Linked DNA regions of Macaca fascicularis. Each later gene encodes a partner of the first gene's protein in a complex. Links are inferred from orthologs where the notes say so. Each region holds a gene or a part of one and is shown in the gene's direction. Other genes may lie near its edges.

Region 1 (8,095 bases):
ATATCTAGAATATCAACTGAGCTTCCTCCTCCTCCTTCCTATATACCGTTTATCTCTTTCTCTCTCTCTCCCTCTTCCCATTCTGTCTCCCTCTCACTCTTTTCCTCTCTCTCTCTCTCACACACACACACACACACACATATGTGTTTAATTCCATTATTAGTTCAAAATAAGGTAATCCAAAAGAAACTGTCTAGAGAAATGGTAGAAAGAATAAAAACACACATCAACTTAAATATGTCAAAGAGCCATATCGTTTATTGGCTACACTCCCAAAACCATTCTTGTTCTCGATAAACCAATTGTGTCTGGTCTGGACAGGTGTGGCTCCAAAATCTCATAGAGAGTTTACTTCTGTCAGTGGTATTATTAGAAACAGCAGGGGGAGGAAACAATCTCAATCTTAAATCCCAGTGTGCAGAAATCACAGTTCTAGGTAAATATCAGCTTGGATAAGGCATCTCAGTGATTATAATTTTCCTCAACATCCCTAACAAATCCACAGGTAGAAGAATTAAACACCATGCAGAGATAAGTTCCACTTTAACCTGCAATTCACCCAGAGCTTTAGTTTCAGACTGTAGCAACTCACGTAACTGGACAACATTTGGATCTACCTTAGTCCAGTATAGCAGAGTTCAAGGATGTCATATAAATTTTGATTCAAAACTCTTGAGAAACTCTTTACAGCTGATCTCACCTGCCATATCATGTCAAAACAAAACAAAACAAAACAAAAACAATCCCAAACTAAGATCCTTTGGAACAATGTTAACTTGGGCTGCATCTAAGCTAAACTGAATCCCCAAGTTCGGATTATAATCAACTATGCTTCAGTAATTCACTAGATCTTGATCAATTCCAATAATAAAAGTTGTTGAGGAGGGAGAAAAAAACAGGAGTTTGACCCATATGGGGAACTTGACAATCATGTTATTGGATAATGCATATATCTGGAAAAGCACAATAGTCATGAAAGTTATGCTTTATCACAAAAGTGAAGATTTACACTAGAATAAATCCAAATAAAAAATTATTTTTAACCAAAAGATAAATTATAAAGCTATAATTTTGTTCAGTGCAAATGAAATTACTTTGCTACCTTTCACAACTCTGTAATTAGCTTGATAAATATTAAACCCATGAGGAAGAGCTCCACTGTACAAGTTTTTTTAAAGACCGCTTAAAAGCAACCTTTAACAAGCTAAGAAAACAAGCTAGAGAAGATTCCAAATCTGCGGTACTGAATCTATTCTTATTACCAATGGTGATATAAACAACCTGATGTATGAAATCGTAAATATCTATCAATAAATACTATAGTCTTACTTCCTTTTACTTTAGCAAGATATTACTGAATTATGTACCACTGAAACTATATTACAATAAAAATTTCCCCCAAACTGAAGCAAAATTTTACTCTCAAATGGAATATAGTTTAAATTACAAGTACCAGAACCAACAAAAGGCAGAAATATTATATAGCAACCTCATAGCCCACCTTTCTTCTTGACTGGCATTCTTAGGTCTTTCCACTGCCACAGAATTCAAGATCTCTTTTCAGGTCTCAGTTTGATCCAGCTGGTTTGAGGCCAAGAGCCAGGTAACTGTTGCAAACCACTTCACTGCTCAGTTTTGAAATCCAGGCTGAGTCTTCTATGTCAGATAAAGAAAGTAATGATGTACTTTTTCCACAACTAAACTTTTTACACCGCCCACAGAGTTTACAGAAACGTAATTTTTTAGTTTTTCAAGTTTTTCAATGTTCAGAAAATATTTAGACTGTTTTTACAAACTGGGAAAATTATTGGAAACATGAAGAACGTTACTGAAATTCCTCTTCAGGCAGCAACATTTTTGGAAGTTCAATGACTAACTCATTTAAGGCACAAACCAAATTTAGACAGCTGTCTCATTACTTTATACATGGTCAAACTGAAACATGATGAAAAAGATCCTCAAATATGTAGAGAAAAATTTAACCCCACCTCCCAAAAAATACTTTTAAAAACCTCTTTGACTCCAGTCTCTAAAAAGATAGGTGAGTTTGAACAGTTTTCTGTGGCAGAACACACACCGAAAGGCCCCCTTCTATTTACTGATCAGAAGTTCCGGATCTCACCCCTTCAGTAACTCAGAATCCAGCTTGCTGTCACTTTCATTTTTTTCTTCTGTGCTCTCCAAGCCCCCAGGCTTGATCCTTAATGCACCTCTGATTCTGATCCTCCCATGTATTAACAGAGAGGATTGAAAAAAAAGGAAAGCAATCCCTTGGCATGGAGACATTAAAGTGACAGTGCTACTCAATGGGCACTTGATGCAGGATGAGTTGGCGAAGCAGATTTCTTCACACTGGAGTCATTCACATCATGCCATCTCTTCGCATCCAAGCAGCTCCCTATCCGGCGAGGAAAAACACTGAGACTTCGAGAGAAGCCAAACCTTCCCCCAAAGGTGTTTTCAGAGACGCCGTAGTAGTATTAGACATGTAAGCATAAGCTATGCAAACGGTCCGCGATTTCCTCAAAATGAAAAAGTGCAGCTGCTTGGCTTTCACATCCACATCCTTTTCTCTCAATCTCTCTTCAAACTACCCACCTTCCTTTTGCAGAAAAGACAAGACATTTCTCTGCCACCGCTGGCCACCCCTGCCCAAGCCCCGTTCTTTTAGGGAAGAGCACTGAAATGTCCTGCACCCTCCACGCGGTGAAGTGTTTCTTCAGGCAGGAGCAACAGCAGCACTAGAAATTATATAACTCTCGAATTTGGCTTCTCTAAGACACGGAGACTGGAGGGTCGGGGGTTGCCGGTCTGGGAGATACTGCTGGGCATTTAACGTGCACAAAACAGCGCCAGGCCTTGCAGTGCCCCCCACCCTGAGACACGACTGACAAGTGGGTCTTCTCGGGGGGTAGTGGGCAAATTTCTCTCCTGTCTCCTTCCAAGCGGGGCTAAAGGATGGAAATTGAGGGGACTACAGACTGGGGAGAGGAGTCAGACGGCTGAGAGGAGAGGAGGCTAGTCGGGGCTGCTCTGACGGCGCTGGGCGGCTGGTTGGGGGTTTGGAGGAGGAGGTGCCCGAGAAACAGAGCTTTAACACCACACGGGCCAGGGCAAAGGGGCGAGTTCCCTCAAGGACTGAAAGGGGCAGGCAGCTAGTTCCCAGCTACCAGAGGTGCCCTGAGGAGAGGCAGGAGCGCAGTAACATTCCAACATTTGGGCCGCCCCATCCTCCCCACAAGACGCGAGGAAAACAGGGAGCTAAACTGACAAATAGCAAGGGAAGGAAATACTCTGCTGGCGATGGGGGCGGACCCACAGGCACCTGGACCTCCTCTAAGCGAATAAGTGGCCGTAATTTCTAGACACCGCGCCCAATCACAGACAGGATGGAGGGCGCGGCTTTTGACTGAGGGGGGCGGGCCCGGGCTGCAAGCGAGAGGCATGAGCCGTAAACCCGCACCACTTCCCGCCCACCAGCAAATCACGTGAGCCATCAAAATGGCGGTGTTCGGGTATGAGGCTGGGGCCAAGCTGAGGGATTCAGGTGTGGTGCCGGTGGTAACTGAGGAAGCGCCCAAGGTAGGCGGAAATCCGAAGTGGTATGGGGGGTGATTTCTGCAGCTTCAAAGTGTTGGCAGAGTCTTCCAAGATGATACACTTAAAGGAGATTTGAAAAGTTAAAACAGCCCCCAAGTCCATGCAAGGAGCAGTCGATTAAGTCTCCAGCTGTTGTGGAAAGAGGCGGAGAGAACGTAGATTACCTAAGTTCTAGTACTCATTATCTGCGGTTTGTTTTCTCTTGTCTCCAGGCCTTTGCACAGGCTTTTTCTTCAACTTGGAATATTTCCCTGCTTCTATCCGTCCCAACTCCCCTGCCAAATTGTTCTCTTTCGGATATTGGTTTAAATGTCACTTCCTCCGGGAAGCCTTCCCACGCCTCCTCTGGCTAGATTAAGTTTGCCTTTTCTTAGGTTGTTGGGTTTTTCGTTTATGTCACTCTCTCATTCTGTGTTTAAATTGCCAGCATTTTTGTTCTGAACTCCCACTACATTGTGGATTCCTGAGGATGGGATGACTGTATCTTGATTACTCGGAGGCCTGGCATATACCAGGTGCTCCCTAAATTATGAGAGAATACTGAATAAAATTCTAAAGTTGAAATTTATTATTAGGTGAAAAATGTATTATTAGGTGAAATAATACACATGAAAGCACTACAAAACCGTCAAATGATTTGCAAACTATAAGCCACTCTTACTGGTATAAGCGTGGTGACTAGTTGAGTGGCCTTAAGAGGGGAGGGGTGTAATGAAAGCAGTCGATTCTTTGACAGTGCCTTGCAAAGCTTAAGCACTCAATAATATTTCCTGTGTTCTTTTCAGTATTTCAGTATTTGCTATCCTGTAATCATAATCCTGGGTGTCTGCTTTCCCTATAGAGAGTTTAGGGTGTAGACTAGGTAGGAGATTAGTAGAAGATATTGCCTGGAAGTTTATTTTGTTTTTTGTTTTTGGTGGAAGGTGGAAGGTGGAGGACTTCAGTGAACTGGATGAGAGCAAAACAAAACTTTATGTAAGGTTTATGGTTACTCATGTTATTGACATCTGCCATCTTAGTACAATAGATGGGTTAGGTATAGAACCTCCCTTAGATGTTACTATCCCTTATACTTTCCATTTGGGTGTCCAGGAGAGGAAAAAGATGTAAGTCTAGTCACTGAAAAATTGTAATTTGTAAAATATTTTACTTTTTTTCCCCCTGCCCTCTCCAGAAATGTTACAGAAAAAGATTGAGTACAATTCTGCGATGATGCAGAGAAAGAAATTGGTCCATTATTACTCGTTGTGTAATGCCATAAGAAGGTTCAAAGGAGCTCATAACTTACGTATGTTGATGCCAGGAGCCGTGTATAATCAACTGGCCCTTCTATAGTTAGGATTGGTACATACCGCTCATTCAGCAAATGAGTATTACGGTAATATTCAATATGTGTCCATTGACTACAGCATCAAAAGCACTTGGTGCTATTAAAATGCAGATTCTAGGCCTCATCCTACTCCTGCTGAATCCAGATATCTCAGGAGGGAGTTCATGAGACTGCATTTCAAATAAATACCCCATGTGATTCTTGTGCATGCTGAAGGTTGAGAACCACTGATTTATGAAGTATTTTGTGTATTCATTATGCTTTATCCCGTCTAATCCTCTTGTCTAGGACTCCTTAACTTTGAGATTTAGTATTTGCCTTCAATATAAACGTTAAAATTGAGATTAGTGTACATTTGTAAAGAGGCTATTTGGCTAATCTGGAGGAAAAAGAGTAAAAAGCAGTGAATTTAGCGGCAATAGACTTTCCACTTGGCTGCTGTAGTAGGTAAACATTTGCAACTACATGTTTGGATTTAACAAATGTTATTAAGATTTTTCACAGAAACTAGAGTCTTGCCCAGAGCAAAACATTCAGAAAGGATCCTGTCTGAGAGTGCAGGGTTTGTTTTCTTGTTGTTGTTGATTTGTTTTGTTTTTTAATCTCTCTAGTTTCTGTTAAGATGCTACTGGCCAAGTCTTCATGGTCCCTTGACATTGGCAGCTGTCTGTTCATCACACTTGGGACACAAGAACCTTCCAACCAAGGAGCCCAGTGCTTTGGGTCTCTGGGGCCCGGCGCGGTGGCTCATGCCTTTAATCCCAGCACTTTGGGAGGCCGAGGCAGGCAGATCACTTGAGGTCAGGAGTTCGAGACCAGCCTGGCTAACATAGTGAAACCCCATCTCTAGTAAAAATACAAAAATTAGCCAGGTGTGGTGGCAGGTGTGGGTCTCTGCTATACTACATAATCATTTCTAGCAAAGGCTCTGCTTCCACCACAGCTGGTAATAGGGAACTGGTTATGTAATTTATGTACTTCAAAGTAGTAGCCACAATCTACTGCCTGTTCCCTTCCTGGAGCAGTGTCCCTCTTTCTGATTTTTCTCTCTCACTGTTCTCCAAGGCAATCCCTGCTCTCTCCTACCTCTCTAGGAAATGAAACACGATTTCCAAAATGAACTCAGTCTTTCATGAGAAACTGAGGATAGAGATGTCAATAAGCAGCCATTGTTTCCACCTCCCCACCTGAAGAGCTAGGAGGACAACTACAAAGGGCCTGACTGCCTTCTCAGAATGAGGAGAGAGGAAAACAGAAACAGTATCAGCATGTTATCCCTCTAAACTAAATCTTAAGCAAGCCAACCTTTCAGACCCTCAGTTTCTCATCTGTATAGAGATAATCATTATACTACCAATTTCTCAAGTTAGTGTGTGAATCAGAAAGCCAATGTCTGTGTGTTGTAGGATGTTTAGCAAGAAAATAAAAAATAATAACAAAAAGCCAATGTCTAACAGATAATAAGAGCTCAGTAAATGTTGATTGAATTATTAACAAAATATGTGAAAGCAGACAACACAGTACCTGGCACACTACTAAACTGTAAATGTTTTCAAATCTGAATCTGTAGAATTCTGTAAGGTTTTATGTAATATGAATATCATTAGCTATTATGGCTCTGGAATTTTTTTTTCCAGGATGTCAAGATGACAGCATCTATGCATGGTCAACCCAGTCCTTCTCTAGAAGATGCAAAACTCAGAAGACCAATGATCATAGAAATCATAGAAAAAAATTTTGACTATCTTAGAAAAGAAATGTAAGAGAAATACCCAGGCTGAAAATCATTTTATTTGCAAGTCTTTTGTATTGCCATTGTTTCTGAGATCCTATTCTTTGTTATCCTATTCTTTGAGTTGGTTATGAAGAACACATCCTTAAAAAAAAGAATGAGGGAAACAAGAACAGATGAAAATAGTGGTTTGTTGGAATATTTGGGATTGTGGATAATTTCTTTTGTTTCTTAAAAAGTATCCAAAAGTATTGCTAAAACATTTGTGCAGTAAATATATTTTAATTAAAAGTAAGAGAAAATCATTGGGGGGGTACTTATATTTAATTGGTGAGTAATTATAATCAGTTAAGGATTGATTATCTCAGCCACAGTACTTAGTACAGCAAAAGGGAATACAGATTTCATAGTATAAATATAGTCTCACATTAACATATTGACTTTTTTTTTTTTTTGAGATAAGAGTCTCACTCTGTCACCCAGGCTGGAGTGCAGTGGCACAATCTCGGCTCACTGTAATCTCCATCTCCCAGATTCAAGTGATTCTCCTGCCTCAGCCTCCCAAGTAGCTGAGATTACAGGCGTGTACCACCACACCCAGCTAATTTTTGTATTTTTAGTAGAGATGGTTTCACCATGTTGGCCAGACTGGCCATTTTGACTTTTAAATGAATGGAGTTCAAGAATAAAACCAAAGGACAGTTGATCTTATTTCCTGGATTTAGGTATGGGTCTTAATAAGAAAACTAGATCAGATTTTTTTGGATGAAATTTTCTAAATCTTGGACAAATTATTTTAAATGTATCTGGGACTAATGCAGAAATAGAAGGCCTAACCAAATGTAAATAGCTTTTTTTTAGCTGAACTTAAGCAAAGTAAATCTTTTAGTTGCAGGAAAGGTATTCTTCGATTTGGGTAACTCATAAAATTTGGCTACATTGGAGCATATTTATATTTATTTGTGACCAAAATTATTTAAAAGAGCTCTATTTTAGAACTACTGTAAATATTATCAGAAAGAGAATCATGTCCTCTCATTGGAATACAAGTTCTATGAGGGGTGGGAAATTTCTTTCCTTTTCTTTTTTTCTTTTGCCTTGTTTACTGCCCTATCTTAAGCACTTAGAAAATACTTTTCACATAGTAAGTGCTCAAGAAGTATTTCATATTGAGTAAATATGCAATAACAACTTTTTAGGAAAGGCTGTATCCATTAAGTTCAATGTTACAGTGAACTGAATTTTTCTTTTTTTCTATTAGGACACCAAATATATATCAAATGACGTCATTTGGAACAACAGCTGGTTTCTCTGGAATATTCTCAAACTTCCTGTTCAGACGCTGCTTCAAGGTTAAACACGATGCTTTGAAAACATATGCATCATTGGCTACACTTCCATTTTTGTCTACTGTAGTTACTTACAAGCTTCTT
Region 2 (8,048 bases), on another chromosome or scaffold:
GTATTCCTTTTAAATGCTACACTATACTCCATCTATGGATTTAAGTTGTTGATTTTAAAACAAAATAACATAATGAAATTAAAGAGGAAGCTCAGGGCCAGGCATGGCGGCTCACGCCTGTAATCCCAGCACTTTGGGAGGCCGAGGCCAGTGGATCACCTGAGGTCAGAGTTCGAGACCAGCCTGGCCCACATGGTGAAACCCCATCTCTACTAAAAATACAAAAATTAGCCGGGTGTGGTGGCACGCGCCTGTAGTCCCAGGTACTCGGGAGGTTGATGGAGGAGAATCACTTGAACCTGGCAGGCGGAGGCTGCAGTGAGCCGAGATCGTGCCCCTGCACTCCAGCCTGGGTGATAGAGCGAGACTTCGTCTTGATAAATAAATAAATAAATAAATAGGAGAAGCTTAGAACTGATTTATTGCAATTACTCAAAACAAAAAAAATTGGAAAAGAGTAAGATGACTAGATTTTTTAGTCTCTTCTAAAAACAAAGCTCCTATCTAGAAAGAGTGGTCTTAGTGGTATGACTTTATGATAAATTCCAAACTGTGTGATAATTTTTAAAAAGTTATAAACTAAGATGAAAACCAGCCCTACATCAAGATACATCACAATGTATTTTTACAAGTCTTAAAACTCAGTACTTTGAGCAATCTTAGTTAAACATTTACACTGAATGTCTATTTTTTTTTTGTGACACGAAGTTGCGCTCTGTCGCCCAGGCTGGAGTGCAGTGGTGTGGTCTTGGCTCACTGCAACCTCCATTTCCTGGGTTCAAGCGATTCTCCTGTCTCAGTCTCCCAGGTAACCAGGACTACAGGCGCCCGCCATCACGCTCAGCTAATTTTTTGTATTTTTATTAGAGACAGGGTTTCACCATGTTGGCCAGGCTGGTCTCGAACTCCTGACCTCAAGTGATCCGCCCGCCTCAGCCTCCCAAAGTGCTGGGATTATAGGCGTTAGCTACCGCGCCCGGCTGAATGTCTTTTTTTTGAGACACAGTCTCGCTGTGTCTCCCAGGCTGGAGTGCAGTGGCGCCATCTCCACTCACTGCAAGCTCCGCCCCCCGGGTTCACGTCATTCTCCTGCCTCAGCATCCCGTGTAGCTGGGACTACAGGCTAATTTTTTGTATTTTTAGTAGAGACGGGGTTTCACAGCATGAGCCAGGATGGTCTCGATCTCCTGACCTCGTGATCCGCCCGCGGCCTTCCAAAGTGCTGGGATTACAGGCGTGAGCCACCGCGCCTGGCCCTGAATATCTTTTTTAAAAAGTTACTAGAAATTTAGAAAATACAAAAAACCTTTTAATTCACCGTCAGTATATAAACACTTGGAGTTCAATGATTTTTCTTTAAAAAATTTTTTTAGAGTAACACATGAATCTGATTAAAATAAAACTGCATAGAAGGGCTTGTAATAGAGTGCAATCTTTTCTACTCTCACAGTGGAATTTGAACCTATTAGACAAAATCTAGAACTGCAGGAGTGGCCCTTAAGAGTCAGAACGCAGTGGCTCATGCCTGTAATCCCGGAACTTTGGGAGGCTGAGGCAGGTGGATCACAAAGTCCAGAGATGGAGACCATCCTGGCCAACATGGTGAAACCCTGTCTCTACTAAAAATACAAAAATTAGCCAGGCGTGGTGGCGGGCGCCTTAAGTCCCAGCTACTCAGGTGCCTGAGGCAGGAGAATCGCTTGAACCTGGGAGGCGGAGGTTGCAGTGAACTGAGATTGCACCACTACACTCTAGCCTGGCGACAGAGTGAGACTCTGTCTCAAAAAAAAAAAAAAAAAAGAAGAGTCAGAACTGTGAAAATCAGATCAGAAGCACTTTCCTGAATGGCATACCTAGTAACTAGGACAGCTTCCACCTTAGCACAGATAGGAAATGGCAAACTTGACAGGAACCAATGTCCTGAGGCTCAGGGGCTTGTACCAGGTCGACTGTGTGAAACTGAGGAGGTTAGTTCTTCACTGAGTGTGTTTCCTTATGTTTAAAAAGGTAATAACAACTATCCTACCTGGAAAGAAAGATGAAGGAAGGTTGAGAGGGTCCAGCGAAATCATGAAAAAGGGTTGGCAATGTAAACCCTAGACCGCTATGGCCCACAGACCACACTGGGCAGCTGTTTGTTTCTGTAACAAATAAATACAATTTTACCGGTACACAGCCACTCTGTGTTTACATAGGGTTTATGGCTGGTTTTGTACTAAAGTTCAGTGGCTACTGTAGACCATATGGTCTGCAAAGACAAAAGTATATGCTATATGGCCCTTTACAAAAAATGAATTGGGGACCGGAGTATTAGACCACTATGGGCTTTTAACAACCCCAAGTGTGTGATAGCTGAATTTCAGAATCAGAAAAAGCCTTTGAAGAACTTGGGAGTTGAGTGTCATCACTAGGTAGATCAAAACTGTGGCTGAGAAGGGCAAAATGATACGTCTAAGGTCACACGCATTTGACGTGGCTTTCTGGAGCACACCATAGTTACCACCAAGCGAAGACTACGAGGGGTGAGGATATTAGTTGAGGATAGTGAGACCATTGGGGTCCAGTCTCAAGTTGAAATGGCCGGTTGTCAGTGGCCAATTTCTGAAAAGGGGACAGGAAAGCCTCATCTCAAGGCTGATAGTGACTGAAACTTATCTGTGCCTGTAGCAGCAAAATCTGGAAGTGGAAAGCAAGTTTCCAAAGGCCCAAAGAGGCTCTCAGCGGGCAGCCTGTAATAACCTAGGGCTCCTCCATCTTCCTAGTCCACTGCAGGGGCTGGAGATGGGTGTGGTGGAGGTGGTTACTATTTACTGAGGCCTAGTGTGCTGTGTGCAACATACTTTCAAGAACTTACACAATCTCATTTGATCCTCACAGTCACCATATGGAACACGTAATATCCCCATTTAAAGCTGTAGATGCTGAGGCTCAGAAAGGTTAATGATTTGCTCAAGGTCACACAGCTGTGAAGAGGTGAAGATGAGACTCCACTAGGTCGATTTCACCTGGAAACCTGTTTTTAATATAATGACTCACGGCACAGCCCATTGGTTACAGGATTGAGGCCGGAAAACAGCTGATAAGGGGCACACAGCTGATGTCGGGTTCAAATCCTGGTCCATCGGTCCCGAGGACTAGCGGTGAGTCTAGATTGCATTTTCCAACCAAGCATAAGTTTCCTTCTCTTAAGAGTTCTTCAGCCCCGTCTCATCTTTCCAAGCATCAGAGCTCTTGAAGAGCTGGTTAGGGCCTCCCTCTCATCCCTCCAGGGCACCTAGAATAGGGTCCAGCCCCCGTGAGGACGCAGGCGGTCCTTAGCCAGCCCTTAGCGCCGACCCTGGGTAGTCGATAGCTCCAACTGGGAACAGCACGGACTCTGAGTCGGCTGCCACCAGCCCGCCGGGCGCCACTTACCTGCCGTGGGGCGGTGAGGGTCCCATCCACGTCGAAGAGGCAGAGCGCTGGGCCAGGCGCTGCCATGTCCCCAGCGTCTAACCGCACCTCGCAAGACTCGTTGACATCAGGAACTCGGCCCGGAACTTCCGAGTTCGGCCCCCGAGCCGCAGGGCACGTCGGGAAGAGGAGGAGACTCCGTTCCCACAACGCCTGGGACTAGCGCCAGCCACGATTCCTGGACCGCAAATCCCAGGGTGCAACGCGGATCACGCCCGCCTTGTACATTCGAGCATGCGCTCTTAGAGGTTCCGGGGGCCGGTGGGATTTACTTCCGGCAGCAGGCTGTGGAGCCATGGTAAGGAGGCTGGTGGCGATCCTTGAGGGGGTGATGCTCTTTGGGGGTCGGTCGGGGTCAGAGCTGGGGCAGGCAGGCACGACGCCTGAGTTTCGGACCTGAAGAATCCGTGGGAGGAAGCTCTGGCGTGGGTTACCATTCGCCATTCCCGGGCTTTCTCTGCCCTCCTTGCGTCACGTGCTCACAGTAGTAATAGCTAAAACTCGCCGAGCTCTCACAGCGCATCAGGTACTAAGTTGAGGGCTTTGAAACCATCTTCTCGTTCACTGTGTTCTGAGTCCCCATTTTGAAAGCCGAAGAAACCGAAGCTCAGGGGTGTGGAGTGATTTGCTCAAGAATCCACAGGTAGTGACTGATGGAGCCAGAATTGGAACCAGAGCTTTTACTGCTTCACTACCCACCTAATAATATGTTTGTGCTACGTGTAGGGGCCTCCCTGCCCCGCTCCTCCTCCTCCTCGTTGTTTCCCCTTCCCCTGACTAGGTTAAGGGAAAGCAGCAGTTCCCTCCAGCACCCAAGATAACGTAAACAGAATTAGAAAGTTTGTTGGGATAGCTGTCTCACAGATTTGTTGCTTGAGTTCCCCACTAAGACATTGATTATTCAGTTTCCTGCTTGGGGAAATGTTCACACCCCCTTGTGGATCCATTGTCCAGCCCAGAGTTGGGACTCCCTAGATATGTTTTGAATTATTGATGGCCGCACCTCCTTTCTTGTATTTCTTTGGAATTGCCTGATGGAAGGAGGACTCTGCTGCACTCACTGACTGTGTGTTCTTTGGTAAATATCTTACCCTCTCTGGGCTTAGTTTCCCTAGTGGTAAAGTGGAAATAGTGATAACTATCTTAGATAGCTGTTGTGATGCCCACATGAGATAACATCTGGCTTTACCCTTCCTTCCTCTGGCAATAATGGTGACCTTGCAGGATTGGCAGAAGCCTTCGAGTATGGTGCTTTGCAGATGTTCACCGTGTGATTAATGTGGTTGAATTCCATGAGAGAAATCGTCTACTGTCTCCCTTTCAGGCTGCCCTTCTCCGAGTTGTGCCTAGATTTCGGGGAAAAGCTGCGTGGGAAAGGCCTCTCCATGGGCTGTGGTGCTGCAGTGGGCAGGAGGATCCTAAGAGGTGGGTGGGGAGCAGGTCACCCACCTCGAAGGAGAAACCACCAAACCAAGAGACTGAGAAATTCTGGATGTTTTACCGTTTTGATGCCATCAGAATCTTTGGGTTCCTGTCTCGACTGAAGTTGGCACAGACTGCCCTGACAGTGGTAGTTTTGCCACCAGCCTGTTACTGGTATTCCCAGGGCCTCCTGACTCTCAACACCGTGTGCCTGATGAGTGGGATATCGGGCTTTGCCCTGACCATGCTTTGCTGGATGAGCTATTTCTTTCGGAGACTGGTTGGTATCCTGTATCTGAATGAGTCTGGCACCATGCTGCGGGTGGCCCATCTGAGCTTCTGGGGCTGGCGGCAGGACACATACTGTCCCCTGGCAGATGTGATTCCCCTGACAGAAACCAAGGACCAGCCTCAGGAGATGTTCATGCGTATCCAGCGGTACAGCGGGAAACAGACCTTCTACGTCACCCTGCGCTATGGACACATCCTGGACAGAGAGCGTTTCACGCAGGTGTTTGGGAGACATCAGATGTTCAAGTAAACAACTGGGGCCTGGGCCTCTGGGTAACCCTGGGTCACCTGGATTGATAGGAAGGCTGAGGGTGTGGGCACAGCTGAAGAAAGGGGATTGGGTACTTGGAGACTTTGCCTGGGCCCCTGGGAACGTGTGTTTTGTGATGAAGAAATTCACAAGGCAAGAGCTGGTGTCCAGATTTAGGAAAAAGGCTCTAAGCAAGTTCTTACAGCACTCGTTTGTGACATTCAGTCAGATAATGGCCAGAAGTTTTTGTTAAGAGCCAGTTCTTAGAAGAACCTATGCCAGGGTCACCCAGACAGTCCATTGGTGTGAAATTGAAAGGCAAAGAGGTGTGGTGGGGGAGCATAGGATTTGGAGTCAGAAGTCTCAGTTCTGTCACTTGTCCTGGGGTGGGTTATTGAGTCTCTTTGAACCGTGGTTTTCACATCTGTAAAATGGAAAGCCCTGCTTGTTTCATGGGATGGATGTGGGAATAAATGTCAAACGTGTGGCAGACTCAGCAGCCTAGAGCAGATAGCATTAAGCATTTGGTCAGAGGTTTTGGCATGGAGAAAGGCTTCGAGCAGTCAGCAGGGACTTCCAGAGCCCTGTGCTGTGCCCCTCACACATCCAGCAGCAGAAAGGTCTGCCAGGATGTTAACTACACATCGATGAGCAGCGATGTCATCCAAGTGAGCACGAAACCCCATTTGAGATTTGTTCACCACCCTGAGATCTAGAGGCTCTTGCTTTGGATGGCCCTGCAGTGTAATAAAGCCTAATGGACTGTATGCTGGTATGTTCTTTTATAAACTAAAGCCAGTTATATGCATTGCCTTGCATAATTAATAATACATGTTCGTTATGCAATTGGTAACACAGTAAAGAGGAAGGAAGGCATGATGATCTTTATTATTTTGCCACTCGAAAGTCAATAAGAATGTTTTATTGCCGGGCGCGGTGGCTCACACCTGTAATCCCAGCACTTTGGGAGGCTGAGGCGGGTGGATCACAAGGTCAGGAGATCGAGACCATCCTGGCTAATGGTGAAACCCCGTCTCCACTAAAAAATACACAAAAAAATTAGCCGAGTGTAGTGGCAGGCACCTGTAGTCCCAGCTACTCGGGAGGCTGAGGCCGGAGAATGGCATGAACCTGGGAGGCGGAGCTTGCAATGAGCCGAGATCGCGCCACTGCACTCCATCCTGGGCGACAGAGCGAGACTCCCTCTCAAAACAAAACAAAACAAAAAATAATAATGTTTTATTGTGTAGCCTTCCATTTTTCTTTTTTTTTTTTTTTTTTTTGTGAATTTGTTTTTATTGGGGAACAGGGCACAGGGTGGAAGATGTCACCTTGGGCTATGGTGTGTCCCACCTCCCAGAGAATGTCAATTTGCATTCTAATCTTCCTGGGATGCTTTATGGAACTTTTTCTTCTTCTTGGAGCTGCTCTTGCCAGCTGCCTCTTCAGGCCCACTGCTGACTGGCTCCTCTTTGGAGAATTTCCTCTTTTTCTTGGAGCCACGCCTTCCATTTTTCTTAACCGTACCAAGATACACCTAACAAATTTATCCTTTTACTCATATTTAAGAGTGTAATTCAGGGACATTAAGTATATTAACAGTGTTGTACAGGCTGGGCGCAGTGCCTCACGCCTGTAATGCCAGCACTTTGGGAGGCTGAGGCGTGTGGATCACTTGAAGTCAAGAGTTCAAGACCAGTCCGGCCAACATGGCGAAACCCTGTCTCTACTAAAAGTACAAAAATTACCTGGGCATGGTGGTGGGCACTTGTATTCCCAGCGACTAGAGAAGCTTGAACCCGGGAGGCAGAGGTTGCAGTGAGCTGAGATCACGCCACTGCATTCCAGCCTGGGCGACAGAGCAAGACTATCTCAAAAACAAACAGAACAGAACATGTTGTACAACCGTCACCACCATCCATTTCCAGAATGTTGTCATTAACCCAAATAGAACTAAGATACCTATTGAACAATAATTTCCTTCTTTTTCCAGCCCTTGGCCACCACTAATCTGCTTTGTGTCCCTCTGGATCCGCCTATTCTGGATATTTCATATAAATGGAATCATATAATATGTGACCTTTTGTATCTGGCCTTTTTTTTGAGATGGAATCTCCCTATGTTTCCCAGACTCGAGAGCGGTGGCGCAATCTCTGCTCACTGCAACCTCCGCCTCCCCGGTTCAAATGATTGTCCTGCCTCAGCCTCCCAAGTAGCTGGGATTATAAGTGCCTGACACCACGCCTGGCTAATTTTTGTATTTTTAGTAGAGATGGGGGTTTCACCATGTTGGCCAGGCTGGTCTCAAATTCCTGACCTCAAGTGATCCCACCCACCTCGGCCTCCCACAGTGCTGGGATTATAGGCGTGAGCCAGCACAGCTGGCCTGTATCTGGCTTCTTTGACTTGGTGTAGTGTTTTCAAGGTGCATCCATGTTGTAGCACGTATCAGTACTATTTCTTTTTTATGGTTAAATACATTTATGGGTGCAGTGTATATTGTCTGTATATACCACATTTTGTTTGTCCATTCATCTGTTGGACGTTTGAGTTGTCGTCACCTTTTGACTGTTAATGAATGAACATTTGGCTATTGCTATGAACACTGGTATACAAGTATCTGTTCGAGTCC

Evidence for each region.
Region 2: TMEM126B (region 1) and TMEM186 share a complex: the UniProt entries of both Homo sapiens proteins name them as parts of the mitochondrial complex. The link is inferred for Macaca fascicularis from reciprocal best matches to the Homo sapiens genes TMEM126B and TMEM186.

The regions. Positions count from the first base shown.
Region 1 is NC_088388.1:84,667,835-84,675,929, forward strand, and holds the start of TMEM126B (complex I assembly factor TMEM126B, mitochondrial), read left to right. Parts: upstream 1-3,490; 5' UTR 3,491-3,501; coding exon 3,502-3,582; intron 3,583-4,530; coding exon of another isoform or gene 4,531-4,575; intron 4,576-4,774; exon of another isoform or gene 4,775-5,541; coding exon 5,542-5,730; intron 5,731-6,024; exon of another isoform or gene 6,025-6,196; intron 6,197-6,567; coding exon 6,568-6,689; intron 6,690-7,923; coding exon 7,924-8,095. Other genes in the region: DLG2 (disks large homolog 2), read right to left, coding at 1,502-1,520. UniProt on the Homo sapiens protein: As part of the MCIA complex, involved in the assembly of the mitochondrial complex I. Participates in constructing the membrane arm of complex I.
Region 2 is NC_088394.1:9,561,275-9,569,322, reverse strand, and holds TMEM186 (transmembrane protein 186), read left to right. Parts: upstream 1-3,723; 5' UTR 3,724-3,748; coding exon 3,749-3,751; exon of another isoform or gene 3,752-4,096; intron 4,097-4,777; coding exon 4,778-5,416; 3' UTR 5,417-6,183; downstream 6,184-8,048. Other genes in the region: PMM2 (phosphomannomutase 2), read right to left, coding at 3,415-3,480. UniProt on the Homo sapiens protein: As part of the MCIA complex, required for efficient assembly of the mitochondrial complex I.